Linked DNA regions of Xenopus tropicalis. The main gene of each other region encodes a partner of the protein of the gene in region 7 in a complex. Links are inferred from orthologs where the notes say so. Each region holds a gene or a part of one and is shown on either strand. Other genes may lie near its edges.

Region 1 (4,286 bases), on a different chromosome or scaffold from region 7:
TCATCCTACCCAGAAAACATGGGCTAGATCCCTCTCTTTAAACTGGCCATCTTTAAAGTACTAAAGCTGCTCAGCCGATTAGTCATTATTTAATCTGAACTTCACAGAAGCCAATACACTTTGCAATATTAGCTGCTAATAATCTGACCATATTCCACTAAATGCAGCCATACATGCTCAGATTTTGTAGTCTCACGACTGATTTCAGGACAAACTGTATAGCTGGTAGTGTACAAACAATTCTAGATGTAAGAATTTACTAATTGGCCCAACATTCTTAAAAATATCAGTTGGGCAACGATAAGAGTTGGTGTGAAAGTTGTCGTTGAACAGTCGCTTTCTGTGCATATATTGGCAGTACCTGCAGAAGTCAACGAACGCATATGACAAGACCCAAATGTTTGTTGCCAACCCTACATTTTAACCACATAAACACTATGAAAAGTCATGTGCATGCTGTTGGTAAATATAAATACAGGCAAAAGAATACCTTGCTGCAATACCAGCAAGCCAAGGCAACCAGCCACATTACAAACAAGCAGAACTCATTCGTTCACTTGTTGTAATAGCAAATAGCATACCAATATCGATAAAAATTGATGAAAAATACATCACTTCCTGTTTATACTGCTTCCGCCACAAGCTGATATAGCATTGTAGATGCACAATATTACTTTACCTTTTGGCAACAAAATGACGACATCTTTAACGTGCTACTTCTCTGTGGATAACATTGTATGATTAAATGCCATTTGTAAATGTAATTGCTATTGAAAGCAGCATTTGCCGAACTCCTGGTGGTTACTTTTTAAACAATGTTGCAAAAGTCAGTCTCCTTCCCCAAGTCAGGTCTGTCAGTTGGCTGCCTTGTGTTACATTGTTTCAAATGCCAGAGCCACCAGGGCAGAGAATAGAAAAGGACAGACAAACACTGCTTCTAATAGCAATTATATATACAAATAACTCAAAAACCATTACAAATTTGTAATAAATGTATATTGCAAAGCTGAGAATTCTGTTTTCTTTTATTAGGCAAAAAATTATATTTTGCGTTGCGTTGTCCTCAAATGTTAGTTTAAAAATTGGAAAATCTGACCATGAACGGCCACCCTAAATTACACACACAGTAAGGGACCATACAATATATGTTGCAGCTCAGTCTAACACTTACCACCATTCCAATGGTGTTTTGGTGGCCACCCCCTGATATCTCTGTGCACTCATCTATTACAAGGTTCATGAAGGGATCAAAGCCACGCAGAATCCCCTGGACATGTCTCCCACCATTTAACTTCACTGAAAGAAAGAAAAGAAAGGAAATTTGATCAGATGCTTCAAGGTTTTGGTGGTTTACTGGTTTGGGGAGTCACCTGGTACAGTTCCCTTATAACTGCATATATTTATATAGAGTGAGGAACAGCAGTCCTGTATCCTGAATAAATCCTTCATTGCACCATCTCTCTGCTGCTTCTTATTCTAAATAACACTGTTATTTGGCCAAGCACCTGAATAAGGTCCGAGCACAGACCTCATCATATATATTTTTATTTTTTAAAAGAAAACTATACCCCCAGAACGAATACTTAACCAACAGATAGTTTATATTTTGTTAAGTGGCCTATTAAAGAATATTGTCAAACTGGAATATATATTAGTAAATATTGCCCTTTTACATCCTTTCCCTTGAGCCACCATTTAGTGATGGGCTGTGTGCTCCCTCAGAGATCAGCTGACAGGAAATAATGCAGCTCTGACTGTAACAGGGAGTAGTGTGGGAGCAAAAGGCAGAACTCTGCCCATTCATTGGCTGATGGGGCCTAACATGTATGTGTGTCTTGGCTTGTTTGTGTGCACTGTGAATCCTATGATCCCAGGGGGTGGCCCTTAATTCATAAAATGGCAATTTCCTATTTAGTACCACCCGATAGCACATACTACTAAAAAAATAATATTTTTAAGAAAATGGTTTATTTAGATTAATTTAGTTTTACATATGAGCTTGTTTATGAAACATTTTTATAGAGACCTACATTGTTTGGGGGGTATAGTTTTCCTTTATTTTTTTTTCTTTTTACAAGTAGATGGAAAATTTTTCAATACTTACAAGACAGTTTCTTGTCCATGAACCTAAAAGTAAAAAGTACACAACATTTAAATACATTATATTATAATAATAACTCAACAAGACCTAATCACCTGTGCTCAGATCACTAGACTAGGGACCCAAGAGAAGCCAATGCAGTTCCCTTATAGGGTTAGTATCAGGCATAAGAGCTACTTCACTCTTCCCAGAGATCCATGTGCACATTATGAAATACTAGAATCCTTAATGAATCCTATGACTGCGACTGATGTAGTTGGCCAGCTTGGAGTATATTGCAATATATGGGCAATCAATCAGTTTGACCACAAAATATAATTGGAAGATATGTGGGAATCGAAAAGATCCCCATTTCTTTCTGTGTGAATGATGTGGTTGCAGCCTCCATGCTCCAAAACGGGCCATTCAACATGAAACAGCGCAATGGAGGCTGCAGGTTTGGGTGTATGTTCCCCGGCTACAGCCTAAGCCGCCCCTCCGCTCTGCCCCTCACTTGCCCTCCGCTCTGCCCCTCACTGCCCCCTCCGCTCTGCCCCTCACTTGCCCCCTCCGCTCTGCCCCTCACTTGCCCCCTCCGCTCTGCCCCTCACTTGCCCCCTCCGCTCTGCCCCTCACTGCCCCCCCCCGGGCCGTTCCTTACTTCTTCAGCTCGGGCGGGTGCGCTTTGCTCATTTTCGTTCCTCGTGTACAAAGCCCCGGTCGCTGCCGCCAAGTAACGCAGTCGCCTTAATGTGACGTAAGCACGTCTTACGTGTATGCGCTTCCCCGCCCACCCCCACGGTCGCTATGACGACCACCAAAGAATACAAAGGAGACGCGTTAGCCGGCTTTAGTTGGGCTAAATATAACATTGTGTATCAAATATTAAAGTATATAAGAAATATTGCAAATTTGATTACATATATACGTTTTCCCTGATTGGTTATAGAAGAATTTAACAAAAACTTGGGGCTATGGAAGCTAGTCGGTCAGCTTAGATGTCTGCCGCAAAACAACGTAGATGCCGTAGAGTTAGAGTAAGGGCAAGCCGTAACCGGAAGGGTATGTGTAAGGGCGGAAGAGAGGTGCGTTGCCCTTGGAGCACACGCTTGTCAGACATGGCAGAGGAACAGCAGAACCGGCTTCAAAATGCGATAGACACTATGGTGAAGAGCTTGGAAAGGGACAACATTAGGAAAATGCAGGTACCATAGTCTGGTGTAATTAGTCTTATGTCATAGGGCGTTACAGCCCATCTTCCATTACTTCTTTTATTATACTCTGCTGCCATTCAAAGTCCCCCTGGGGTAGCACTCCCATGCACTTGAATGGAAGGGGCACAAATGCCTGGGGGTCCAATAGGAATTGGTCATTTTTAATGTACAGGACTAATGGCTGTGGGATGCCTTATATACCAGGTTTTACTTGTCCTTTAATATAACATACTAGTTTTCCTGCTACATTTGCTTAGCACAGGGACTTATCTTTCTGTTCAGGTTTCTGTTCCTTACCATTAAACCGCAAGTACTGTTGCTGCAAACTTCATCAGAAATGGGTAGGGCAAAAAGAAACTGGGGCAAAAAGAAACTGGGGCAAAAAGAAACTGGGGGAAAAAGAAACTGGGGGAAAAAGAAACTGGGGCAAAAAGAAACTGGGGGAAAAAGAAACTGGGGCAAAAAGTTCAAATGAGTAAAACTTATGTTTGAAAGCCACAGTGTGGCCCAAGCCTCTTAGCAAAGGAAATCTATACCCCAGACAATGTAGGTCTCTATAAAAATATATTGCATAAACAGCTCAGATGTAAAACCCTGCATCTTCTAAATAAATTGCATGAAAATATACTTCTTTTAGTAGCACGTGCTATTGGGTAATCCTACATAGAAAATTGCCATTTTATATATTAAGGGCCTCCTGCTATTGTAGCACACAAACACACCAAGGGCATGCACTGAATCCGGGATTCGGTGCAGGATTAAGTCTAATCCAAGGTCCTGGCCGAACCAAATCCGAATTTTTAAAAACACCTGTCTTTTTGTCACACTCTGCGTGGGGTTCTCTTTAACCCTTACTTGCCTTAATTTGTATGTACAAATTTGGTTTGGAATTCGGTCAAATCTTTAACAAAGGATCCAGGGTTCGGCCAAATCTGAAAATAGTGAATTTGGTGCATCCCTATATACATATATTTTAATGTTGAAATTGTTTA
Region 2 (3,998 bases), on a different chromosome or scaffold from region 7:
CCCAGAGGCTATTATCCCACTGCTACTATAGGCACCATCTCTCCCTACTATACCTGCTATCCCACAGCCACAGTCCCTTCCCAGAGGCTATTATCCCACTGCTACTATAGGCACCATCTCTCCCTACTATACCTGCTATCCCATAGCCACAGTCCCTTCCCAGAGGCTATTATCCCCCCACTGCTACTATAGGCACCATCTCTCCCTACTATACCTGCTATCCCACAGCCCCAGTCCCTTCCCAGAGGCTATTATCCCCCACTGCTACTATAGGCACCATCTCTCCCTACTATACCTGCTATCCCACAGCCACAGTCCCTTCCCAGAGGCTATTATCCCACTGCTACTATAGGCACCATCTCTCCCTACTATACCTGCTATCCCACAGCCACAGTCCCTTCCCAGAGGCTATTATCCCACTGCTACTATAGGCACCATCTCTCCCTACTATACCTGCTATCCCATAGCCACAGTCCCTTCCCAGAGGCTATTATCCCCCCACTGCTACTATAGGCACCATCTCTCCCTACTATACCTGCTATCCCACAGCCCCAGTCCCTTCCCAGAGGCTATTATCCCCCCACTGCTACTATAGGCACCATCTCTCCCTACTATACCTGCTATCCCACAGCCCCAGTCCCTTCCCAGAGGCTATTATCCCAGTTGATATTATTAATCCTTTTCTGACACCTACACAAATACACCTCATGTCATGTTACTAAACTCCCTCCTGCTTTCCATGTAGAATCACCTGAGAATCCCAAAGCCCTGGTTAGTGCCCGGACAGGGCCATTACAGGCATCATATTAAAATAAACAAGTGCTGCCCATCACGGACAGACGGGCCCCGGTTAGAGTTACCTGCTCCAGGCGTAATTGTGCGAGCACCTCAGGTGTCACACGCAAAAATGTGTCCTTAGCACTTGTGAGTTTCAGGGACACAGCAGCCCCGGGCGGTCCCGGACCTAGCATCCTACTGTGGCGTACCCACAGCAACCCCCTTCACTCCAGCGCTGTGTATGACGAACGTGCAAGTAACAGAACTTCCATCGCTAACGTTATCAGCTCCTTCATGCCTACTGGGTAACTTCCGCGCTGTTTCACCTTTGACAATCGAGGAAATCCCACTCACCCTGTGTCTGCTGACGTATAGTACCTCCCGCCCAATCAGAGAATGGCGTGCTCTAATGACGCCTGTGTGCGGGGCAGTCCTTCCGCCTATTGGTTCTGCTGCCTTTCCGCCTATTGGTTCTGTGTCCCGGCCTGTGTTTGGTACAGGGAGAGAGGGAACTATTTCTTAGACAGCAGAAGCCGATGGCAGAAAGCGCAGCAGTGCAAGTGCAGGCCTACGCACACCATGAGCAGCGAAAGATATGCGCCTCACGGGCCAAGTACCGCGAAGGACGGAGGCCCAGAGCAGTCAAAGTGCGTGAAACATTTACAGTTTTTGTTTTGGTTTTTATACGTCCACACAACTAGTATTCCAGCGTATTCTTGCGGTGGGACTGAGCGCCAGTGCCGCTCTAGCAGGTTTCCCTTCGTAGAAATTGCTCCCTAGAGTTATCACTGAGTTACAGCTTCCATAAGAATGTTAGCTCTTCTATATTCATGTGGTTTTAATTGGGCACTGTGTGGGAACTGGTAATGATTTCTGTTTCTACATAGGAGCATATTGTTCCACTGAAGGAAAAAATGCTGCCTTTTTATCTGCACCCACTGATAGGGGAATAGTGTGGGAGAGGGATTAGAGTTCTAGTTCACCATTTGGAGGCAGTAGGTTTCATTATAAACTATGGGCTATTTCCCATGATTGTAATTATAGATGTCACAGACCCAGTGGCTGCAACTGATAAGGCTAAATATATGTTTATGAATAAAAAGATAATTTTGTGGTTGGGCCCAGTGGTCTCTAGTTACACCAGCAGTCATGTATACTGCAAGCCAGTGGGGTACCACAACAATTTCAATTTAGGGCCCAAAAAATATTTGTATGTTAACCTATTCTACCAAGATACATTGACATTTCTCATCAATTAGGGTCTTATTGGGCCACTTCCATTCCTGGGCCACTTCCATTCCTGGGCCACTTCCATTCCTGGGCCCCCTTCCAACTGCAGGGTCTGCCCTAGCACACACTCCAGTTTCCCTTTCCTTGCCCTGTAACATTACATCATTTCACTCTGCACACATTCTCATACAACCAGCACACTTAACATGTCTGCATATAAAAAAAACACACACAAACTGATACTATTTTCTTTTAATTTCATAAAGAAGAGTATAATGCACTCAGTTACTGGGTTCACGTTAAACTGAGGGGTATATTTAAAAAAAAAAAAAAAGTTTAAATTTGACGCTTACCAAGATTGACTTGTAAGGGTCTGTTTTAAGCTTTCCATATCATGTGACAAATGTAAGATGCTGATGTGCATTTAAATTTTAAATGTTTGAGAAATAAAAAAAATTATATTTTGACCAAAAACTGAAAATGTGCCTCATCTCAGTTTTGTGCCTGTAGCCCTCGGCTATTGCACCCAGTCAGATTTATTCATATAATGCCAGAGATTCTCAGCTGGATTGAGGTCAGGCCTGTGACAGAGCCATTTGATCACTGGGATCACTGTTCTACTGAAAGATTAATGTTTATTTTTTAGCAGCCTGGAACAGGCTTTTTTTTGGTGATATTTCACTGTATTTTGCCCCATGCCTTGAAAACAATATTCCCAGTTGCTGCGTTAATTATATAACACACAAATCTGTGGTACTAATGAAGAATCAGGCTTTTGCGCAGAGAAATCTTTAGTTTAGGACTTTAAAAACTGTTGATTCCTTGCTGAATACTTGGACAGATAACCATTTGCTTTATACAGTATGGCAAACATGGCATATACAAACAGTTGTATCACTCTGGCTTGATTAAGCCATTTTACAGATGATGCAAATAGAAAAACTTTAACGTATGTTCAAGCCAAAGAAAAGTATCCAGTGCTTTCTAGCAAGTTACTGGCTTTCCTTCAAAAGCGATACCAGTAAAATTATATAGCCATCCTCCCGCCAAGAGAGCTATATCACTGGGCTTTAAACTATTATATAAGCAGAAATGAGTTGCTGGAAAGCTGCACACCATAAGAGCAAGTTAATACCTGGGTGCCAGTGCTGAAAGCGTAGATACACAGGGTTGGAATGACAGCACACGCAGGATGTTTTTCAAGAAGAATCACAGAGGTTTAGATAAATAAATGTGAGGCTTTATTCAGTCCGACGTTTCAGTTCCTATCTGGAACTTTCATCAGGGACAGTAACATCACAGTGCAGTACAAACCTTTTTAAGCACAAAAGGGCCCTAAACCTCTGTGATTCTTCTTGAAAAACATCCTGCGTGTGCTGTCATTCCAACCCTGTCTATTATATAAGCAGATAGTCTATACTTCTTCCACCAAGGGACACAACAAATGGCTTCTGAAATTTTCTCAATTACAAATGTCTCAAGGCCTTACAGTATGCAAATAAATGTCTTCCAATGGGATCATATAAAGAAATGCATCTAAAATTCTTTTTATTGAGCCTACTACTCGCCAAAAGTCAGTCCCAAATAGGACTCTCTGGAGGCAGATTTATTTAATTGTTTCTGGACATGTCCTCATAGTAAAAAGTTTTGGGTATCAATAACTTGTTATGCCATTGATAACTTGCTAGACTATGTTCCTATGTTACCAAAATGGATTATGTTCCTATGTTACCAAAATTGACAATGTTTGGTATCCCTACCAAATACTAGACTTATTGGGGGAGTAGAAAAGTACTGTTTATCATATCTGCAGCTGCTCGTAAATATATGCTACAAGTGTGGATAGAGAAACAACCCCGTCACTGTCTTTTTTTAAAAGTAAATTTTATATATTCACCTATTATTTCACCTGTTTCACATGGATTGGCTAGAAGTCTCCCTCCAAAAAGAAAAACACACGAGATGAAGAAAGAAACAAATGGCAATCAGTT
Region 3 (4,259 bases), on a different chromosome or scaffold from region 7:
AAAAGGAATACAATAGTTAAACAGTTTAGCAGAGAAAAGGTAGCAGTCACATTGTTTTTCTAGAGAAGGGATACAATTCTTGCTACTAGGTAGTTATCAAGAAAAAAAAGGGCAATCTACTCACGCCTCCTTGGAGGTTGTGCTTTAAAGAGAATATTTAAAAGGACAATTTGTTGCCTTTTTAAATAATTGTTAAATTACACAGTTTAGATAAGAAACTATTTAAAAAGTACATTTTTTTTTTTTACAGAATATACTTTACATTTTTCACTGGTTCACATGTATGTATATATATTTTTATTTATAAAGCGCTACTTATGTACACAGCGCTGTACAGTAGAATACATTAATACAAATAGGGGGTTAATAAGATAATAGATAAATACAAAGTATAACAATAAATACAAATACATACAAGATACAGTTACAGTTGCAATAAGTTAAGAGTCAAAGACACAAGAGGATGGAGGTCCCTGCCCCGTAGAGCTTACAATCTATATGGCACATGCAGTTGCCTTAACATGCTGACAAGAGTTTGCTTTCTATTTCAGAAAAGCAGACATATATGCTGTAATGTGACCACCTACAAAGCATCCCCAGTGCACAATTCTTACCTTATCAAAACTTCTCCAAGATGTCCAGACAATGCACCATCAATATATTCTTCTGTGTTTGCAAGCTGCAATAATATATATAAATGAATTAACCAACAGAAAAAGCTTCTCACACATCACAGCAACCTTGGATAATGGACACTCATTACTTTCTCAACCATCATTACTATAAAAAAAAAAAACTCTGCAATACAGAAATATTAATATTAATTGTTACTTATGTTTTAAAAGCAATTAAGCTGGCTAATTGGTGCTAATGCTACTAGGGTTAGCAATGGTACTATAAAGTGTCACAACACTCTGGCAAGCACTCCAGCTAATTGCATGCAACCTTAAGCAGCACTTAAAGGAACAGTAACACCAAAAAATAAAAGAGCTTTAAAGTAATGAAAATATAATGCACTGTTGCCCTGCACTGGTAAAATTGGTGTGTTTGCTACAGTAACACTACTATAATTTATATAATAAGCTGCTGTGTAGCCACGGGGGCAGCCATTCAAGCTGGAAAAAAGGAGAAAAGGCACAGGTTACATAGCAGATAACAGATAAGTTCTGTAGAGTACAATAGTGTTTTATCTGTTATCTGCTATGTGCCTGTGCCTTTTCTCCTTTGAATGGCTGCCCCCATGGCTACACAGCAGCTTATTTATATAAATTATAGAAGACTTTCTGAAGTAAACACACAACTTTTACCAGTGCAGGGCAGCAGCACATTATATTTTAGTTAGTTTTTTACACTTTAATTTTTTGGTGTTACTGTTCCTTTAATGTATTTCATTGCCAGCAATGGGCTGCTGATGCCCAAAACCATTTTACTTGTGCAATTTCCTAGTGTTAACTAGAGACAGAGGCAATCCAATCCAAATGTCTCATACACTGCTCTAAAATGGCAACAGGAAAGCCCAGATACAATTCTGGCACAATATAAAGGGAATATAATATAAATTATATATACACATGCATACAATATATATTTTTTTTTATTAAATAATCTAATAAATTAACTTATAACAGCAAGTAACCAACTATAATATCTGACATGTTCAGTGCTATTACTTACCTGCATGTTCATGTATCCATCCACTGATACCAAGTAGCCTTTGTACTCCATCCCCCATTTCAGCTTTACCATAACTGGCTTACCAGTGAGGCCATTAAGGAAGGGTTTTGGATTCAGTGGTAAACTCTGAAAATATAATCATTTATAATATAAATATTCAATAGGTCTTGTGATTAAAACGTCAACTCATGCAATAACCTGAAGTAATCATATGCATACATTTTCAATACTATATCTCTGCCTTTATTTGTCCTCAGTTTTCTCATGCTCCCTTCCAAGAAACCAAAAGGGGACACCTGCCTAATAATGATACTTGGGGCACGGCCAGCAACAACAACCACAAATCCATATCTAATAGAAATCATCCTTTCTTTGGTAGGAGGCTATATATTATTACACTACCACAGTAAAATGAAAAAGGGGCATTTATTTATTCTTCCTGATAGTTGAAAGTGCAGTTCAATAGCTGGAGGGCCACAAGGCTGCACATCACTGCTGGCTGAGGGCAGTCACAGTACAAACAGTATAACATGCCATTTGTAGCATTACCACTTGAGATATGATAGGCAGAGGAACACATGGCCTTTAGGAAATTATCAACTCCCATGTGCCACCGCTTTAAGAACAGACGCAAACATCCCATGTTCGCGGCTCATCCCCAGTAGAGATAGTACCATCCCACGCTGCATGGCTACTTATATTTCAGCGCAGCCTACACCGCGCCTTACATACAGGCTCTTTCCGTGCAACGTGCCCTTAGCGAGTACACACGCTGCAAAGATAACACGTTACGCCTTTCCACACAGGCCTAACAATAAAGCAACCAAACAAACCCGAACCAACTGCATAACCCATTCTGTAAATCCGGCGGGATAAGCTGCTACTCGGGATAATGAACAGCCCCACACACCATGCTGCCTGCACTCCCCCCCATCCCTACACACTGACACCCCCTGTCCCGCCAGGCCTGGAACTCGCACACCTCCAGTACTTACCATGGTGCGACCGCAGCCTCACAACAAACTGCAGATCAATAAAAAAAATTCCTCCCCGGAGCGTCCCGTAGAACACACCGCTGGAGCAAAGCGGGAAATGGCTGCCAAGGCCCGGAAGCGACAGGAGAAAAGACCATAGAGAGCCGACACGCGTTGAATGGCTAACTGCTCCCTCTAGTGGCTGGAGTTGGATTTCCAACATGACTCCAACAATCGCCAGTGGAGGCGGGATTATTTCACAATGGTGTTGTATTGTACAAGGCTCACCCTCTGTGCTGACTCCGGGCCGCCTCAGTACTACTAGTACTACAGGGCCTTCCCCCAGGAACCGCAATTAGGCATTTCTAATAAATGCAAGTTGCTATACTGCGCTGACTGCAATTACAACAAATACAAACATTGCGTCCCGTCTATTTGTATTTCGTACCTTGTTTTGATTATTTGTTAACGCTATGTAATTATATTCACTATTATGCACAACAGTCCAGATTTAGAAGCCTTGATTTTCCGAGGACTTGGTGGCACTTGGAGGGTAAAATTAGAATGGGTAAAGGAATACTGTCATGAGAAAAGGTTTTTTTTCAAAATGCATCGGTTAATAGAACTTCAACAGGTTTTTTTTTATATTTAATTTTAAAAGTTCACATGGGGCTAGCCATATTCTTCATATCCCAGGGTGCTACAGCCATGTGACTGATAAACTTCAGTCACACTTTACTGCTGCGCTGCAAGTTGGAGTGATATCACCCAGGAGTACCTGATTCCACAGGTAGAAAGAAAACCATGATAGTTTTCTCTGTGCTCTTTAGCACATTTGTCTCCCAATGTAATGCAAGCTGTCCCCCTTTATACCAGAATCTGTGCGCTTTTTACAAAGAAAGAAAAAGTGAGAGAGGGGTTGCATTACACTGTGACCCTAAGTGGGTTGCATACCCCCCAACTGTCCCGCTTTTCGCAGGACAGTCCCGGTTTTTACAGCGCATCCCGCTGTCCCGGATTGTTCAATGAATGTCCCGCATTACGGAAATGCAGAACATTCATTAAACTATCCAGGCCAGCGGGATGCGCTGACTGCAGCCAGCACTCCGGCTCCGTCTCGTCCTGTGGCTCCTGCTTCTTATTCGGCTCCTCGTACGGCGGCGACAGGCCCTTTTATAAGGTTGCGCCCATGCGTACGTGTGATGTCACACGTACGCACGGGGCGCAACCTTATAAAAGGTCCTGTCGCCGCCGTAGAAGGAGCCGCATAAGGAGCAGGAGCCACAAGAAGCAGCGTCAATGGGGGGCACTGTGTATGGGGGGCATTTTCTATTGGAGGTACTCTCTATGGGGGCAATTGGGGGCTACTGTGTATGGGGGGTGTTTTCTATTGGGGGTACTCTCTATGGGAGCAATTGGGGGTACTCTCTATGGGGGCAATTTTCTATTGGGGGTACTCTCTATGGGGCAATTGGGGGCTACTGTGTATGGGGACATTTTCTATTGGGGGTACTCTCCATGGGGGCAATTGGGGGCTACTGTGTATGGGGGGCTACTGTGTATGGGAGGATACTGTATGGGGGGCTACTGTGTATGGGAGGAAATGTGTAT
Region 4 (3,799 bases), on a different chromosome or scaffold from region 7:
GCCCCTGTGTGTCACATGACTCCCATTGGGGGCATTTCTACTGTAAATAACCGGTCTGTGCTGCCCCTGTGTGTCACATGACTCCCATTGGGGGCATTTCTACTGTAAATACCCGGTCTGTGTTGCCCCTGTGTGTCACATGACTCCCATTGGGGGCATTTCTACTGTAAATACCCGGTCTGTGCTGCCCCTGTGTGTCACATGACTCCCATTGGGGGCATTTCTACTGTAAATAACCGGTCTGTGCTGCCCCTGTGTGTCACATGACTCCCATTGGGGGCATTTCTACTGTAAATACCCGGTCAGTGCTGCCCCTGTGTGTCACATGACTCCCATTGGGGGCATTTCTACTGTAAATACCCGGTCAATGCTGCCCCTGTGTGTCACATGACTCCCATTGGGGGCATTTCTACTGTAAATAACCGGTCTGTGTTGCCCCTGTGTGTCACATGACTCCCATTGGGGGCATTTCTACTGTAAATAACCGGTCAGTGCGGCCCCTGTGTGTCACATGACTCCCATTGGGGGCATTTCTACTGTAAATACCCGGTCAGTGCTGCCCCTGTGTGTCACATGACTCCCATTGGGGGCATTTCTACTGTAAATACCCGGTCTGTGCTGCCCCTGTGTGTCACATGACTCCCATTGGGGGCATTTCTACTGTAAATAACCGGTCAGTGCTGCCCCTGTGTGTCACATGACTCCCATTGGGGGCATTTCTACTGTAAATACCCGGTCAGTGCTGCCCCTGTGTGTCACATGACTCCCATTGGGGGCATTTCTACTGTAAATACCCGGTCTGTGTTGCCCCTGTGTGTCACATGACTCCCATTGGGGGCATTTCTACTGTAAATACCCGGTCTGTGCTGCCCCTGTGTGTCACATGACTCCCATTGGGGGCATTTCTACTGTAAATAACCGGTCTGTGTTGCTCTCAGGCTGCAGCTTTGGTGGAAGAGGAGACCAGAAGATATCGGCCTACAAAGAACTACCTGAGTTACTTGCCCACCCCCGACTATTCCGCATTTGAGGTAATGGCTTTCTCCCTATTCTGCAGCACCCTACACTGGGTGCCCCTCTGCTCTATTCACGGTGGTTGCACATTGGCCAACCAAATGGCTTCCCTGCTAGAGAACTCACCCTGGCAACTAAGAACCTATTGCTCTGTGAGGCTTCAATTTTATTGTTACTGTTACTTTTTATCCAGCCCCTCCCCTATACTCATTCACACCACTGTCTGGTTGCTAGGGTAAATTTGACCCTAGCAACTTGATATCTCTGCAAAATATTAATACTTCATTATTCATTCTGCTACTACTCGTCCTTATGTCTGTCAGTTCTCCAAAGATTGCTTTCATAGTCCCATAACCCCGAGGGGTTTGCATGCACAGAGCCCACCCTGGCACCTACTGGTGCTAATATCACGTGGGTGGGGGGCATGTTCCCTTCACAGAGGAGACCAAGATTCCAACTTTCATTCATTTTATTTAGACTGAAATCATGAGGAACGAGTTTGAAAGACTTTCGTCGCGCCAGCCCCTCGAACTGCTCAGCATGAAGAGGTGAGTGCCGTCTGGTTACTATGGGTTACTGGACCAAGATCTGTGCATTGCTTTACAGCCCTGTGGTTTCCATGTGGTCTCATTGTGCTGAAGGGTATCCGTGGAAATACCATACCCCTCTCTCTGATTCTAGGTATGAGTTACCGGCCCCCCTATCCGGCCAGAGGAACGACATCACCGCGTGGCAGGAATGTGTCAATAACTCCATGGCCCAATTGGAACACCAGGCCGTCCGTATAGAGAACCTGGAGCTCATGTCCCAGCACGGCTGTAACGCCTGGAAAGTCTATAACGAGTGAGTTGGGAACATGGCGTTGGGGGGGGGGGGGGGGGGGGGTGTTGATTTACAGCACAGGATATAGCATGACCCAATGATACTGCCGCCCTTCAGTCACGTGATTCTTCTGTCTCCTCCCAGGAACCTGCTGCATATGATCGACTGCGCGCAGAAAGATCTCCAGAAGTTACGGTGAGACGGCATTAAGCCCATACTAACCATATATATATATATATATATATATATATATATATATAATCCTTCCCTGGCCGTGGGGAAGAGAGCAGCCCAGAAGCAGGAAGTGCAGAGATTTAGAGCTCAGTTCCTGTGTAATTACTGGGATGAGCTTCGAGTTACCTACGTGGGGTAGTTCCTAGCCCTGGGGTATTACTAGCAGTTGCACACTTCCATTTTAACAGCTCTAACGCTTTCACTATTTGTCTTGTTACCGGAACAGGAAAAAGATTCAGGACTTGAACTGGCAGAGAAAGAACTCCCAGCTGACAGCAGGTGCCCGACTCAGAGAGATGGAGTCAACGTAAGTGAGATTTGTGCATTTTGTTCACACCTAGGGTGAACTTATCAAGGGAATACCTACTCCCCTATACTGTATTTCCATGAATGAAGTACACACAGGCTTTGAGTGTGCCTAGCGGGCTGTTCCTGCTGAACAGGGGAATCCCTATGCTGCCATAGTTTTATGGTATCTCTCTGTACAGGCTATGAGCAAACTTAGGGGGCTGTTCCTGCTGAATTGTGCTTAGTACAGGGGAATCCCTATGTGCCATAGTTTTATGGTATCTCTCTGTACAGGCTATTAGCAAACTTAGGGGGCTGTTCCTGCTGAATTGTGCTTAGTACAGGGGAATCCCTATGTGCCATAGTTTTATGGTATCTCTCTGTACAGGCTATGAGCAAACTTAGGGGGCTGTTCCTGCTGAATTGTGCTTAGTACAGTGTATGGTATTTATGGGATGCTAATATTTTAGCTTTAATAGAACTGGTAGTCATTTTCGTCTGTCTCTAACTTGCTTTCTGTGCCGGTTGCAGGTGGGTGTCTCTTGTGAGCAAAAACTACGAGATTGAGAGAGCAATTGTGCAAATGGAGAATGAAGTCTATCAGCTGAAAGAGAGGAGCGGGGAGAATAAGGAAAATATTGAAGATTATTAAGGCCCTGCCCCAAGGATTACAGGTTCCAGGGTAACAGCACCGGTCCTGCTGCAGAGACTCTGGCGCCATGTTGGGCAGCGCTGCTGGGGGTTCTGGTTGCTTTATGGCTCTTCACTCTGGAAATGTAGCGAGTAGTCTCTGCCTGGGTGCTGATAGGCGCAGGGATGGGTCTCCCTGTTTCACCCAAATGCCCCAGTGCTGCCTCGTAGGCCGGGCACATACCGGCTTTTATAAGGAAATTCTGACTTGTTTTTCACTGTAATATTAATAATAAAGTGTTTTCCAGAAATCTTCCACTTTTATCATCCTGTGCGCTCCTGGGGGTCTGTACTGAGCACCCCACACAACCGTAACCCTGGCCTGGGTGGGGGCACACCATTATATATTAGATAGCACCCCCGTCTCTGCACAAGTGCCTGATCTCACCAGAGGGAAATAGGTATGTTCTGAGCTGGGACGGATTTCCCACATGGGCAGCTTCGACAGATAACGGGTCATGTGTGTAACAGTGAGAGGAAATCAGCGTAAAAACCAATGAACTGTCTTCTATAGGCCATAGAGATACAGTGGGAAAGCCTGGCATTGCCCTTCCTCCTGGGTCTCATCTGTTTTTACAATGTTAATATCATGAAGGTGTAACAGGAGCGCCCCCTGCTGTTCTGTGCAGGCGGAGACACAAGCAGCACTGAGCCCAGAGACACTTCCAGCATCAGCAAATGAAACTTTTCCCCTATCTGTCTGGCTCTGACTTGGTGTGAATACTGCAAATAGCATGGAAACTAAAGAAGT
Region 5 (4,194 bases), on a different chromosome or scaffold from region 7:
CACTGAACTCAAGTTGAAAAGGAGACACTGTGTGATTAGTACTCACCTTGCAGTCTTTGATGTCAGTGCCTTGTTCTCATTTAGTTTTCTGCCTCCACTTTCTGTGTAAAGAGAGAGAAAAATCAATAACCAGAAGAATACTGTAATAATCCTTTCCCACAGAAGCCAAATGTGTTTGTTTAATTAAATAAATTAGAAATATAAGCCTCCCATCAAGTCCCCCATTTGAAACATTGTACATAATACTATAGAGAGGTTACCAGCTCCAGGACTTAGGGGCCATAGGCAAACAAATGAAATATTTTGGATTTTTTCTTTTACTTGAGCAAACATTAATTCTGACAGGGACTGTTGTGCCAAAACAAGACAAAAAAATACTGCCTATTAAAATAAACAAACAGTGGCATATTCACTAAAGAAGGCTTACGTGTGAATGGAACAATTCATCAAAAAATGAAAGTCCGCCACCCCAGTTGAAAATAAGCCTTAACCAGGTAGACCAAACAGAGCAGTTTTAGGGGTCCCTGGTGGTGCAGTTCTGGAGGAGGGAGGGAAGACTCTGGAAGTGGCCATGGCTTCAAACAGCCTCCTTTGGGTAAGCCAGTCACTGAATAAACTAAACCGACTGTTTTTCAAGCAAAAAAGTGTATTTTATACCATATTTATTTAGAAAAAAATAGCTTATCATCAATTTACAATAGGCAATAAAAATATCAGTTAATGCTTTTAATTGCATTACTCTGCTAATATTAGCTAGATACATGCAGCGATAACATTTCAGGTAAAGAGATTGTTAAAAAATGGCTAAAGATAATAACTGGTGGCACTTCATGGAGGCATTAAAGGAGAAGAAGTCATTTTGGCATTTAACTGCCAATAGGTTTGCCACATTAGTGCCACCTAGAACACTATATTTATTCTGCAGAAAGCATTGCCATACTTGAGTAAAGAGCCCTAGAAGCTTTCTCTTTTTAAGATTGCAGCTGCCATTTTAGCTTGGTCTCCATAGCTTCCTGTTTGCAGTCTAGCGTTATAGCTCAGATTACACATTCCTAAGGGAGGGGGGAGTGAGTCTTATGAATTCTTATGGGAGGGGGGAGCAGGAGAGAGGAGAGAGCTGCACTGACTCTGGTCACAGGAATGAAGGATTTTTCTGAGAGAGAAAGTCAGATACCCTAAGAACATGTTTACAAAAAAGTAGACAAGAAATCCTGTGTTTCTTTTGACAGAGGACTCAGTGCAGCGTTTCTGTGAGTGCTTATGACTGTATTTACATAGACCTTTCTGATAAAGTTTACTTAGTTTTTACCTTTCCTTCTCCTTTAACCAATGAGTTTATTCATATAAGCCTTTAGTGTACAAATGTTTTGCTTGTGTACTTATTAAGGGAAGCTGCATAGGTGGCAGAGGCACACTTTGAAGCCTTTAATAACACAGCACAACAGGTTCAGCCCTTAAATGTCACCATATATTTTACAAAAAAAATAAATATTAAAGTCTGCCTTTATATAAACAATATCTGGCCTTTATAATAGGATCAAAGTTCTGCCTCTGAAAGACTGGGAAGAGCAAGAAGTGCTAGTGGATTGATACACAATAATGCAAATCCGATTAAATGGCACCACAACTTACCAGTGGTATTCCTGGCACCGGATTTCCATGTGTCTGGAGTGATAACTGTGCCCAGTTTCTTCTCACCTGTCATTAAATACACGTCATTAGTTAATGCTGCTCCTGCACACACATATCCCTATCTACGTCCTTAAAGGAATACTGTCATGGGAAAACACGTTTTTTTCAAAACCCATCAGTTAATAGAGCTTCTGCAGCAGAATCCTGCATTGTAATCTGTTTTTCAAATATACAAACAGATTTTTTTTATATTTAATTTTGAAATTTCACATGGGGCTAGCCATATTCTTCATTTCCCAGGGTGCCACAGCCATGTAACCTGTGCTCTGATAAACTTCAATCACAATTTACTGCTGCGCTGCAAGTTGGAGTGATATCCCCCGCCCCCTCCCAGCAGCCGATCAGCAGAACAATGGGAAGGGAGCAAGATAGCAGCTCCCAGTAGGTATCAGAATAGCACTCAATAGTAAGAAATCCAAGTCCGGCTTGGGACTCCTCCAGTTACATGGGAGTAGGAGAAACAATAGGTTAGCTGAAAGCAGTTCTAATGTGTAGCGCTGGCTGAAAGCTCAGACTCAGGCACAAGGCACTGAGATGGCGCCTACACACCAATATTACAGCTACAAATACATTTGTTGGTTCAAGAATAACATTTTAAATGGCAGAGTGAATTATTTGCTATGTAAACAGTGTAATTTAGAAATAAAAAGTATACCACATAAGTCATGACATTATCCCTTTAAAAACAACAGTAATTACATTCTCCCATACAGGTATCCAAAAACGTCAATGAGATAATCAGAATATATAGTGACAATGAGCAATACAGTCAGGGAGAATAGTAATAGCCGGCAGCACAGTAAGTATATTACTACGTATTGCGAACAGCGGATAAACCAGAGCTACAGCTATGTCTGCTTTATTTATTACTAACAGTAGGCACCCCTAGCAACCAACCAGCCATTGGCTTTGCTCAGCCAGTTGCGCAGACGAATGTGAAGGATAATATAAACAGGACGCCATGGTTTACAGCTGCTCGGCAAATGTATCCAATGGCAGGTGTAAGCGTTACCCACATAACACGGCTCTATGGGAGCTGCCCGGTACCAGGAAATACACCCAGCGAGATTAAACCCGGTTTGTTACTTACACTTATCGCACACCATGTCCCACTCCGGTCACACCAACAATCACACGGCTCTTGTCAACAAAGTTCCTTAGGAACGTCACTTCCGGATCTCGTCACCACCAATGGAAACCGCTCCGGAACGTCAACGTCAGTTGGCGGAAGCCGCCGCCTGATTGGCTTATGTGACTGTCTATCAAACACAGCTTCTGCTCCTTTTCAGGTGAGGGAGGAGGAACCAGAACCAGAAGTGGTGCAGGGTCAATGAGCGCACAGGTGAGTATTGGGAGACACAGCGGGACTTCCCTTCTACCCTTATATATATATATATATATATATATAGCTCAGTCTGTGGGAGTTTTGGTGCTGTTGAGCTACAGCTGCTTCCTTCCATTGGTGTGTTTGCATAAGCTCCTAGGGGGAGTGATGGGAGTTGTAGTAAAGACAATTAGCAACATGGGGTGTTCAGCCTGAAGGCCAGTTAGGGGAGATTGCCCATTACATACACAGCCCAGCCTGAAGGGCCAGTTAGGGGAGATTGCCCATTCTGTGGCTACATACACAGCCCAGCCTGAAGGCCAGTTAGGGGAGATTGCCCATTCTGTGGCTACATACACAGGGCAGCCTGAAGGCCAGTTAGGGGAGATTGCCCATTCTGTGGCTACATACACAGGGCAGCCTGAAGGCCAGTTAGGGGAGATTGCCCATTCTGTGGCTACATACACAGGCCAGCCTGAAGGCCAGTTAGGGGAGATTGCCCATTCTGTGGCTACATACACAGCCCAGCCTGAAGGCCAGTTAGGGGAGATTGCCCATTCTGTGGCTACATACACAGGGCAGCCCAGCCTGAAGGCCAGTTAGGGGAGATTGCCCATTCTGTGGCTACATACACAGCCCAGCCTGAAGGCCAGTTAGGGGAGATTGCCCATTCTGTGGCTACATACACAGCCCAGCCTGAAGGCCAGTTAGGGGAGATTGCCCATTCTGTGGCTACATACACAGCCCAGCCTGAAGGCCAGTTAGGGGAGATTGCCCATTCTGTGGCTACATACACAGGGCAGCCCAGCCTGAAGGCCAGTCAGGGGAGATTGCCCATTCTGTGGCTACATACACAGCCCAGCCTGAAGGCCAGTTAGGGGAGATTGCCCATTCTGTGGCTACATACACAGCCCAGCCTGAAGGCCAGTTAGGGGAGATTGCCCATTCTGTGGCTACATACACAGCCCAGCCTGAAGGCCAGTTAGGGGAGATTGCCCATTCTGTGGCTACATACACAGGGCAGCCCAGCCTGCAGGCCAGTTAGGGGAGATTGCCCATTCTGTGGCTACATACACAGCCCAGCCTGAAGGCCAGTTAGGGGAGATTGCCCATTCTGTGGCTACATACACAGGGCAGCCCAGCCTGAAGGCCAGTTAGGGGAGATTGCCCATTCTGTG
Region 6 (3,422 bases), on a different chromosome or scaffold from region 7:
CCAGCTTAAGGGAGAGTCCATTACTTATCTGTAAACACTTAGGCAGCAAATATGTAGAAGTGTGCCAGAGTCACTTCTGATGCAACATTTCTTCCCCTAACACTAGCCCAGTCATTTTACAGACAAGCTGACCATGACTGCTTTTGTAATAGCAGCACATAAACCCTAGGTAGGCAAAATGTGGGAGCATGCCAAAAACTTACTGTGTGAACCGTTCTACAAGTTTCTCTCACCAATTGGTTACAAAGAATGGAAGGCAGACAAGGTAGTACCCCACCACAGGAACAATATATTAGGGCGCATCAACTAAGAAGTTTAAAAAAAAAAACCATATATATATAAAAACTTGATTCAAACATGGCCACAAAACCGCTACTGAAAAACAAGAGAGTGATGGCTAAAAATATTAAGCAACTGCATCATTTAGCTAAAATGCTTTTTTCACAATACAAATATGAATAACAGTTTTATAAAAAGAAAAAAAATGAAATTCAACCATCAAGAAGGTAAAAATGTTTATTTCCCTTAGGACAGTCATGGATCTTGAATCCTTTAACTTTGTCTTTAAAAGGTGCTTCCACCATGGCAGGTCAGTATTTTCCTTGTACCAGAACAATCTGTGGTACATTGATACAAATGGTGCTGTGAATACCCATTTTGTTTCCTGAACATTAAATGCAAGTGTCCTTGACCATACAGGTCACGTTAGCCATCATACAGTTTCATTAGCTTCACCGTTACCAAAATGTTAACCACTGCTAGGTTTTCCTGCATGTGCTCCCATTCGTTGAGGGTCTTGTGATGGATAGTGGATATGTCCAGGAGCACGAAGGAATGGTGGAGGTGCCATGGGTGGGAACATGTGTGGGCCATATCCTAAAAAACACAAGATAAACAGTTGCACACCACCAGAGAACTGTGACTTGAGTACAAATAGCCACTGTAACACACATTTTATATTAAAAACACATCTTTCAGTCAGCATACTATTTATTCTACCCTATGAACAAATAAATGGAAATATGCTATCTTTTCCAAAAGATAAAAAAAATCAATATACACACAGTCTGCTACTACAGAGGTTGGTGTAGGGCAATATTATTAATAATACATTAATTGTAATGAAATCTGCTATAAATGTGTGTTTTAATTAAGCAACAGAGTACAACTAGTAGAGAAAATGTCCAAAACACAATGCAAAAATACTAAGGATACAGTTATATTGCTCCTGAGCTAATGTAGGATTCTGAATACTCTCAGTATGTAAAAAGTGCCTTTACATGGAAGCTTGTAACAAACATTACCTGGAGGTGGCCCACTTAATCCAGGTGGAGGTGGAAGAGAAATGTTCACTAGAGCTGCTGACCCATTAGGAGGCAGGTTAAAGTAATTAGCTGAAGATTCTTCTTCTGTTGGTGGAGGTGGCAGGGCTGGAGATAGAACAGAAATGTTTTATTAAACAGGCTGATACTTTTAATTCATGATTCAATTTGGAAAGTCTCACTTATGAAGAAAGGCTGGCCAAGTTATATTTGTTTACACTGGAGAAGAGGCGCTTAAAGGACATGTAAAGCCTACATTTGCCTACAATATATATCAGTTAGGCAGGTCTCCCAAATTGCATCATTTGTACTGCATATATCCCCTCCGTATGCCAGCACCATCACATTTTCCTAAAGCAAATAGCAGCTTTCACCCGGTGGCCATTTTTCCTCTGCTACGTAATCAGATACATTTAAATCTGCAAACAGCATACACACACACAGACCCTTATTCAGCATACATTTCATCAAGAATACAGGCTCACACAGGCACAACTGTCTCTGATAGAAGTTTTGCTTTGTTTTGCACTGTAAAAGCTAAGCTCAGGAGAAACAAATTGAAGCAGACAGCTAAAGCTGAGTTTCTATGGGAACCAGCAATGCCATCTCTTTACTGGCTGCTAGACTGGGGGGCGTGTTTAGTAATCTGAGCTTAGAACAACTGAGCATGCCCACAAGCCAACAGCCAAAGCAAATTCCTAAGGGAGGGGGCTGAGTGGGTTACAGGAGGAGAAGGAAATCTAAGTGATTAAGGAGATGTTGCAGCCTTACTATTAACCTCTGGACAACCAGTATGGCAGTTATTTAAAGATTTCAAAGAGGCTGTTCACTGATTAAATTTTGTGTGTGTGGGGTTTACATGTCCTTTAAGGGGTGGTATGATAACTATGTATAAATATATAAGGGGATCATATAATAACCTCTCTAATGCTTTATTTACCAGTAGGTGCTTACAACTGACATGAGGGCACCCACTCAGTTTAGAAGAAAGGAGGTTCTGTTTAAATATTCAGAAAACCAGTCGTACTGGCTGATACATTATATAGCTTCAAGAAGGGGTTGGATGGCTTTTTAGCAAGTGAGGGAATACAGGGTTTATGGGAGATAGCTCTTAGTACAAGTTGATCCAGGGACCGATATGATTCCCATTTTGGAGTCAGGAAGGAATTTTTCCCCCCTCTGCGGCAAATTAGAGAGGCTTCAGATGGGGTTTTTTTTTTTTTTTGCCTTCCTCTGGATCAATCTGTTAAGCAGGTTATATATAGGCATTAAGGTTGAACTTGATGGATGGATGTCTTTTTTCAACCTAACTTACTATGTATTTTATAACAATCTTTATGAACTTGAAAATGCCACTGTTAACGTTAAAATTACTACATGTGTTTGCAAAAATTACAGTGCCAGACTATATCAGCGATACTGCCTAGGCGCTTCAGGTATCTATTAAATTATAGTTAAAAATGTATGTATGCAGTCAACACAGGCTTGGGCAGCTATTTGCTTGACTGGTAATGTGGACTTAAGTTGGCCAACCAGTTTATCAACATTTTGCTTGGAAAACTGGACAATCCTATTAAACCTCTTCAGCTCTTACAGCAATGGAACCCACAAAGTTTAAATTAAGCTACTTATGTCAGCACAGTTGGGAACTGTTAGGCTTCCAAACTGACTGTGTCACAGAACTTAAGGGTAAGCAACAGGCAATGATTTTTAGGGTGAAGACTACTCCAGAAAATACCCTGCCATAGACAATATTGAGAATTGCCTTTGCTAAAACAAATGTAGAGACAAATATTAGTAAATTATCAGCATTAGTCATGACAAGTAGCTGCTACTAGTAGTCTGTGTGTCTTCCCCCTTATTCCTTGGAAAAGTGACCTTATTAAGATTATAATTAAAATTATAAGGCATTGCTATTGTTGGGCAATACACAAGGCTGTACATGTCCAATAACATTATAAAGAAAAAAACATTTAAAAATTATATCTTTTTGACCAGAGCCTTAAAATAACATTTATTGGCAGCAACAACCAGCTTTCTTCTACATGAAAAATGTTTTCAACCTACAGGTGTGTTGAGAACCATGAACAACATCTGCCC
Region 7 (3,954 bases):
GCTCTCAGGAGTACATAGACTGTGATTACTATGGGGAGGAATATACAAGCTGTTACAGACCAAACAATAATCACAAGGGAACAGTTCCTGTGTGACTGATTCTATACCGTAATATAGGAGAACTGAAACTCGCAAACACATTTGTTGTTCTGTTTATGGAGGGGGTGAAAATGTGTGGTAATCGGAAAAGTGAGAGTCAGAAGGTTGCGGGGGATAAAGGGGAAAGTTAGGAAAAGTGTGAGATCAAAACAGAAGGTCCTGAATGAAAGGGCAGCGGAGGTAATAGGGAAAGCAAATGAGAAAAGACAAGAGGTTAGAAAGAATCTTTCATGGAATTGTCGTTGCTACTAGAATTTTCCTCTCCCATTACCCACAACTATGTATTCATGCCATTCTGTTTTCCCTGCACCACCCAGTGCTGATTCTGACTGCCAACAATTCGGCCTGATGTACCAGCAGTTCCACTCTTTTCAGACCTGAGCATTCAATCTTAGCTCTGCCCACCGCTGTCACGCCTTGCCCACCTGGCCCTGTCTGTAGGCTGCAGTCTTTTCTAAATAAATATTCAGACAGGATCTTTCTTGCTGATTAATAATAACATCAATTATACGTTGAGTAGGCTGGTAACCTTAGCAATCTGATATGTTACCCTCGCTAAAAGCTCTCTCTCTCTGCAAAAATGTAATTTTTCACATTTCCTTTTTTCCCTAATGGCCATCTCCCATCTGTCTTTTTCTATCACTGGTTGCCGAGCCCTGTTATAAGAACTTTAAAATACTTCCAGTCACACTGTTTAGACGTGCATACTGTCACACAAAATGTTGTGTTTCTGTTTCGTGCAAAAGATGTTCTTCTTTGTCAGGGCTGCTGTTATACTGTTTGCTAGCACACTGCAAAGCGGGCACTCACCTCCAGATGTTCCAGAATATCAAACACCGCGTTGGCATTGGTTCTACTTCCCAGTACTGCTGCGAGTTTGCTATCCAAATCGTGGCGCTCGGCATCACTTTGCTTGGCAAAGCTCGAACTCACACGTTTCGCTTTGCGCGCTGCCATCTTGCTACTGGAGCAACGCGACTTCCCCCCGGTAATGCGCCTGCGTGCGCTTTCTAAACAGGAAGTGGCCTCAGCCAATGCGCGCAATCTGGAGCTAGTCTGGCGTCACAGGAATAATGGCGGACTCTAACGCACCAGTTTGCAGTTTCGTGTTTAAAAAAAGTGCCCGAAAGTTCGCGGGACGGAAACGCAAAGAATCGGACAATGGTGAGACAAGGAGAAAGTGGGAGTGCAAATAAATGTTTATTATAATATAGTATTATAGGCATTACACGCTTACCGTGTATAAAATTCAGCAAAGTGTTGGGATGGAGTAAATGAGTTAAATGCAGAAGAGAGCGCAGATACAACTAATTGCGCAAGTGTTGTTGCTGTTAGCAACCAATAAGGTTTTTGCTTTTATTTTCAAACGTGTATATTGGCCAACTATTCGACTTTGTTCCTTACTCAAAACCACTATCTTAAAGGAGATGCAGGTGAGGGTGGCTGTATTGTTTGCTGGATATAATTACCATTAGAAATCAGTAGCATGTACCAGGGAATTAAGGTCCAAATGACAAAACAAAAATCAAACCCATCAAAGTATTTGCAAAACATTAACAACAACAAATATAATTATACATACAGCCTCATTTACTGTTCATTGGTACAGGTATGGGACCTGTTATCCAGAATGCTCAGGGCCTGGGGTTTTCCTGATAAGGGGTCTTTCTGTAATTTGGATCTCCATAACTTTAGTTTGTTAAAAATCATTTAAATATTGAATAGGATTGTTTTGTCTCCAATAAGGATTAATTATATCTTAGTTGGGAATCAAGTACAAGATACTGTTTTATTATTACAGAGAAAAAGGAAATCATTTCTAAAAATGTGAATTATTTGATTAAAATGGAGACTATAGGAGATCCGTAATTTGGAACTTTCTGGATACAGGTTTCCGGATAAGGGATCCCATACCTTTATGTCACTGGGCTCACATGCATTTGGTGTCTTAAATTTATCGAATTTCAGAATAGTACTTAGATGCATCTGTTGTATAAGTGTGTTGTACTATTCTGATCAGTCCTTTACTGATTTGTTTGCAGAGAGCAGCGAGGAAGAGAAAGGTCCAGTGATAAGGAGGATAAAGAAGGATGTGGTTAATCCCATGATTCAGAAGGTTAGAGTCACAGGTATTCACTATGTCACCCTGAGGCCCCAGGAGCATTAAGGAGCTTTATAAAATTTTCTGCCAGTTAATCTTTCAGAGTGGGCAGCAACACTTCTCCCAGATATTTCCTGTAGACCTCTCTGTTTAGAGATATAGATACCACATCATCTTCTCCTGGCAGCTAATGGCTGAATGGAAGCACAACACATGCCATAACCCTCTCCAGCCTGTCACCCTGTGTGCAGGACAGACGTTAACATGCCACAGAAGGGATGTGTGTAGTGTTTGTCCTCTTGAGCTTTCTGGTAGTTGTATTTACCTCTGTGTGTGATTTAGAGCAGGCAGCAACCAAAGGACTGTGAAGATTACAAAGCAAGCAGCAGTGAAGATGAGGACAAAACAGCGAAGTCTATCACTGTGTCTTATAAATCTACCCGATCTGCGGTAAGAGACTCTTTTGGAATTGGCTTATTCTTAGCACAGGCTTTATGTCATAAATGTTAAAATCTTTGAAACCCATCATCAGTTAGTTCTTTGTGATATTTTATTCAGTTTGTGAATCAGCCTATGCTGTCTGTCTTGTTTCAATATAAATGATGCATTGAAAAAAAATCTGTATTTATAGAATGACATGTCTAAGACACCCCCCATTTCTTACTATGTATGCATTCTTTGTTTCTTGCAGAAACCAGTAGGGCCAGATGACATGGGAGCCACAGCTACATATGAACTAGACACTGAAAAAGACAAGGATGCTCAGGCAATTTTTGAGAGGAGCCAGAAAGTACAGGAAGTGAGTATTTAGTATGTGATGCAGTGGATTATATATTCACCTTAAACTATGAGAGAACCACTAAAGCAGAGAACCCCAACCTTTCTTACTCATGAGCCACAATCAAATGTAAAAAGACTTGGAGAGCAACACAAGTGCCATAAAAGTTTGTGGAGGTGCCAAATAAGATAGGTAGCCTCTATGCACACCATCAGCTTACGAGGCTTTATTTGTTAGCAAATCTTGTTTTTATTCAACCTAAACTTGCCACCAAGTCAAGAATTCAAAAATGAGCACCTGCTTTGGGGGCAGTGAGAGCAACATCCAAGGGGTTGGTGAGCAACATGTTGCCCCCGAGCCAATGGTTGGGGATCACTAAGGAATGCAATAAGTGTTAGTAAAGCATGCAGTGTTCTGCATGACTTACATGCAGTTTCTTTAAAAATTCTGTGCTTTTTTTCTCTTCACTTTACTTTCTTTAATATTGTAATACTCTCCTTTTCATAGATGACACTCTGTTTAGTTCCCACTATTTATTTTGCTTTAATCTGACAGGAGTTGAAGGGGAAGGAAGATGACAAGATCTATCGAGGAATCCACAACTACCAGAAGTTTGTGAAACCCAAAGATACCTCTATGGGCAATGCATCCTCTGGCATGGTTAGGTACGTGTACCCCTCCCACTTTCCATTCTGTTTTAATTTAGAAACATTTCACTTTTCAATCAACTGGGTGATTAAATCCTAATAGTTTAGTCTGCATTGATAACTTTAACTTTTATCATTTTAGGAAAGGACCAATACGTGCCCCAGAGCACCTCAGAGCCACAGTACGTTGGGATTACCAGCCAGATATTTGCAAAGATTACAAGGAGACTGGGTTCTGTGGGTTTGGAGGTCAGTTGCTGGATTGTGTTGTACCCCTTTCCATTAAATGTCTGTTGTTCCTTTGGCCCTTTTTGCCCATATTTTATTCT

What was found.
Region 1: rnf113a (region 7) and snrpg share a complex: the UniProt entries of both Homo sapiens proteins name them as parts of the minor spliceosome. The link is inferred for Xenopus tropicalis from reciprocal best matches to the Homo sapiens genes RNF113A and SNRPG.
Region 2: rnf113a (region 7) and rbm48 share a complex: the UniProt entries of both Homo sapiens proteins name them as parts of the minor spliceosome. The link is inferred for Xenopus tropicalis from reciprocal best matches to the Homo sapiens genes RNF113A and RBM48.
Region 3: rnf113a (region 7) and snrpf share a complex: the UniProt entries of both Homo sapiens proteins name them as parts of the minor spliceosome. The link is inferred for Xenopus tropicalis from reciprocal best matches to the Homo sapiens genes RNF113A and SNRPF.
Region 4: rnf113a (region 7) and bcas2 share a complex: the UniProt entries of both Homo sapiens proteins name them as parts of the pre-catalytic and catalytic spliceosome complex. The link is inferred for Xenopus tropicalis from reciprocal best matches to the Homo sapiens genes RNF113A and BCAS2.
Region 5: rnf113a (region 7) and cript share a complex: the UniProt entries of both Homo sapiens proteins name them as parts of the minor spliceosome. The link is inferred for Xenopus tropicalis from reciprocal best matches to the Homo sapiens genes RNF113A and CRIPT.
Region 6: rnf113a (region 7) and rbm22 share a complex: the UniProt entries of both Homo sapiens proteins name them as parts of the pre-catalytic and catalytic spliceosome complex. The link is inferred for Xenopus tropicalis from reciprocal best matches to the Homo sapiens genes RNF113A and RBM22.

Annotation. Positions count from the first base shown.
Region 1 is NC_030679.2:122,085,895-122,090,180, forward strand, and holds the start of snrpg (small nuclear ribonucleoprotein G), read right to left. Parts: upstream 2,801-4,286; 5' UTR 2,774-2,800; coding exon 2,742-2,773; intron 2,128-2,741; coding exon 2,105-2,127; intron 1,297-2,104; coding exon 1,172-1,296; intron 1-1,171. Other genes in the region: protein FAM136A, read left to right, coding at 3,199-3,285. UniProt on the Homo sapiens protein: Plays a role in pre-mRNA splicing as a core component of the spliceosomal U1, U2, U4 and U5 small nuclear ribonucleoproteins (snRNPs), the building blocks of the spliceosome.
Region 2 is NC_030682.2:31,762,945-31,766,942, reverse strand, and holds the start of rbm48 (RNA-binding protein 48), read left to right. Parts: upstream 1-1,198; 5' UTR 1,199-1,313; coding exon 1,314-1,424; intron 1,425-3,998. Other genes in the region: pex1 (peroxisome biogenesis factor 1), read right to left, coding at 861-971. UniProt on the Homo sapiens protein: As a component of the minor spliceosome, involved in the splicing of U12-type introns in pre-mRNAs.
Region 3 is NC_030679.2:57,034,490-57,038,748, reverse strand, and holds the start of snrpf (small nuclear ribonucleoprotein F), read right to left. Parts: upstream 2,801-4,259; 5' UTR 2,673-2,800; coding exon 2,670-2,672; intron 1,801-2,669; coding exon 1,675-1,800; intron 680-1,674; coding exon 615-679; intron 1-614. UniProt on the Homo sapiens protein: Plays a role in pre-mRNA splicing as a core component of the spliceosomal U1, U2, U4 and U5 small nuclear ribonucleoproteins (snRNPs), the building blocks of the spliceosome.
Region 4 is NC_030682.2:7,012,579-7,016,377, forward strand, and holds the end of bcas2 (pre-mRNA-splicing factor SPF27), read left to right. Parts: intron 1-938; coding exon 939-1,031; intron 1,032-1,491; coding exon 1,492-1,562; intron 1,563-1,695; coding exon 1,696-1,857; intron 1,858-1,980; coding exon 1,981-2,031; intron 2,032-2,296; coding exon 2,297-2,377; intron 2,378-2,889; coding exon 2,890-3,010; 3' UTR 3,011-3,299; downstream 3,300-3,799. UniProt on the Homo sapiens protein: Required for pre-mRNA splicing as component of the activated spliceosome. Component of the PRP19-CDC5L complex that forms an integral part of the spliceosome and is required for activating pre-mRNA splicing.
Region 5 is NC_030681.2:19,972,044-19,976,237, reverse strand, and holds the start of cript (cysteine-rich PDZ-binding protein), read right to left. Parts: upstream 2,801-4,194; 5' UTR 2,799-2,800; coding exon 2,783-2,798; intron 1,699-2,782; coding exon 1,633-1,698; intron 102-1,632; coding exon 47-101; intron 1-46. UniProt on the Homo sapiens protein: As a component of the minor spliceosome, involved in the splicing of U12-type introns in pre-mRNAs. Involved in the cytoskeletal anchoring of DLG4 in excitatory synapses.
Region 6 is NC_030682.2:89,081,480-89,084,901, forward strand, and holds the end of rbm22 (pre-mRNA-splicing factor RBM22), read right to left. Parts: intron 1,431-3,422; coding exon 1,305-1,430; intron 877-1,304; coding exon 749-876; 3' UTR 501-748; downstream 1-500. UniProt on the Homo sapiens protein: Required for pre-mRNA splicing as component of the activated spliceosome. Involved in the first step of pre-mRNA splicing.
Region 7 is NC_030677.2:156,458,542-156,462,495, forward strand, and holds the start of rnf113a (RING finger protein 113A), read left to right. Parts: upstream 1-1,154; 5' UTR 1,155-1,172; coding exon 1,173-1,263; intron 1,264-2,141; coding exon 2,142-2,215; intron 2,216-2,542; coding exon 2,543-2,650; intron 2,651-2,891; coding exon 2,892-2,999; intron 3,000-3,533; coding exon 3,534-3,643; intron 3,644-3,767; coding exon 3,768-3,874; intron 3,875-3,954. Other genes in the region: noc4l (nucleolar complex protein 4 homolog), read right to left, coding at 910-1,056. UniProt on the Homo sapiens protein: Required for pre-mRNA splicing as component of the spliceosome. As a component of the minor spliceosome, involved in the splicing of U12-type introns in pre-mRNAs. E3 ubiquitin-protein ligase that catalyzes the transfer of ubiquitin onto target proteins.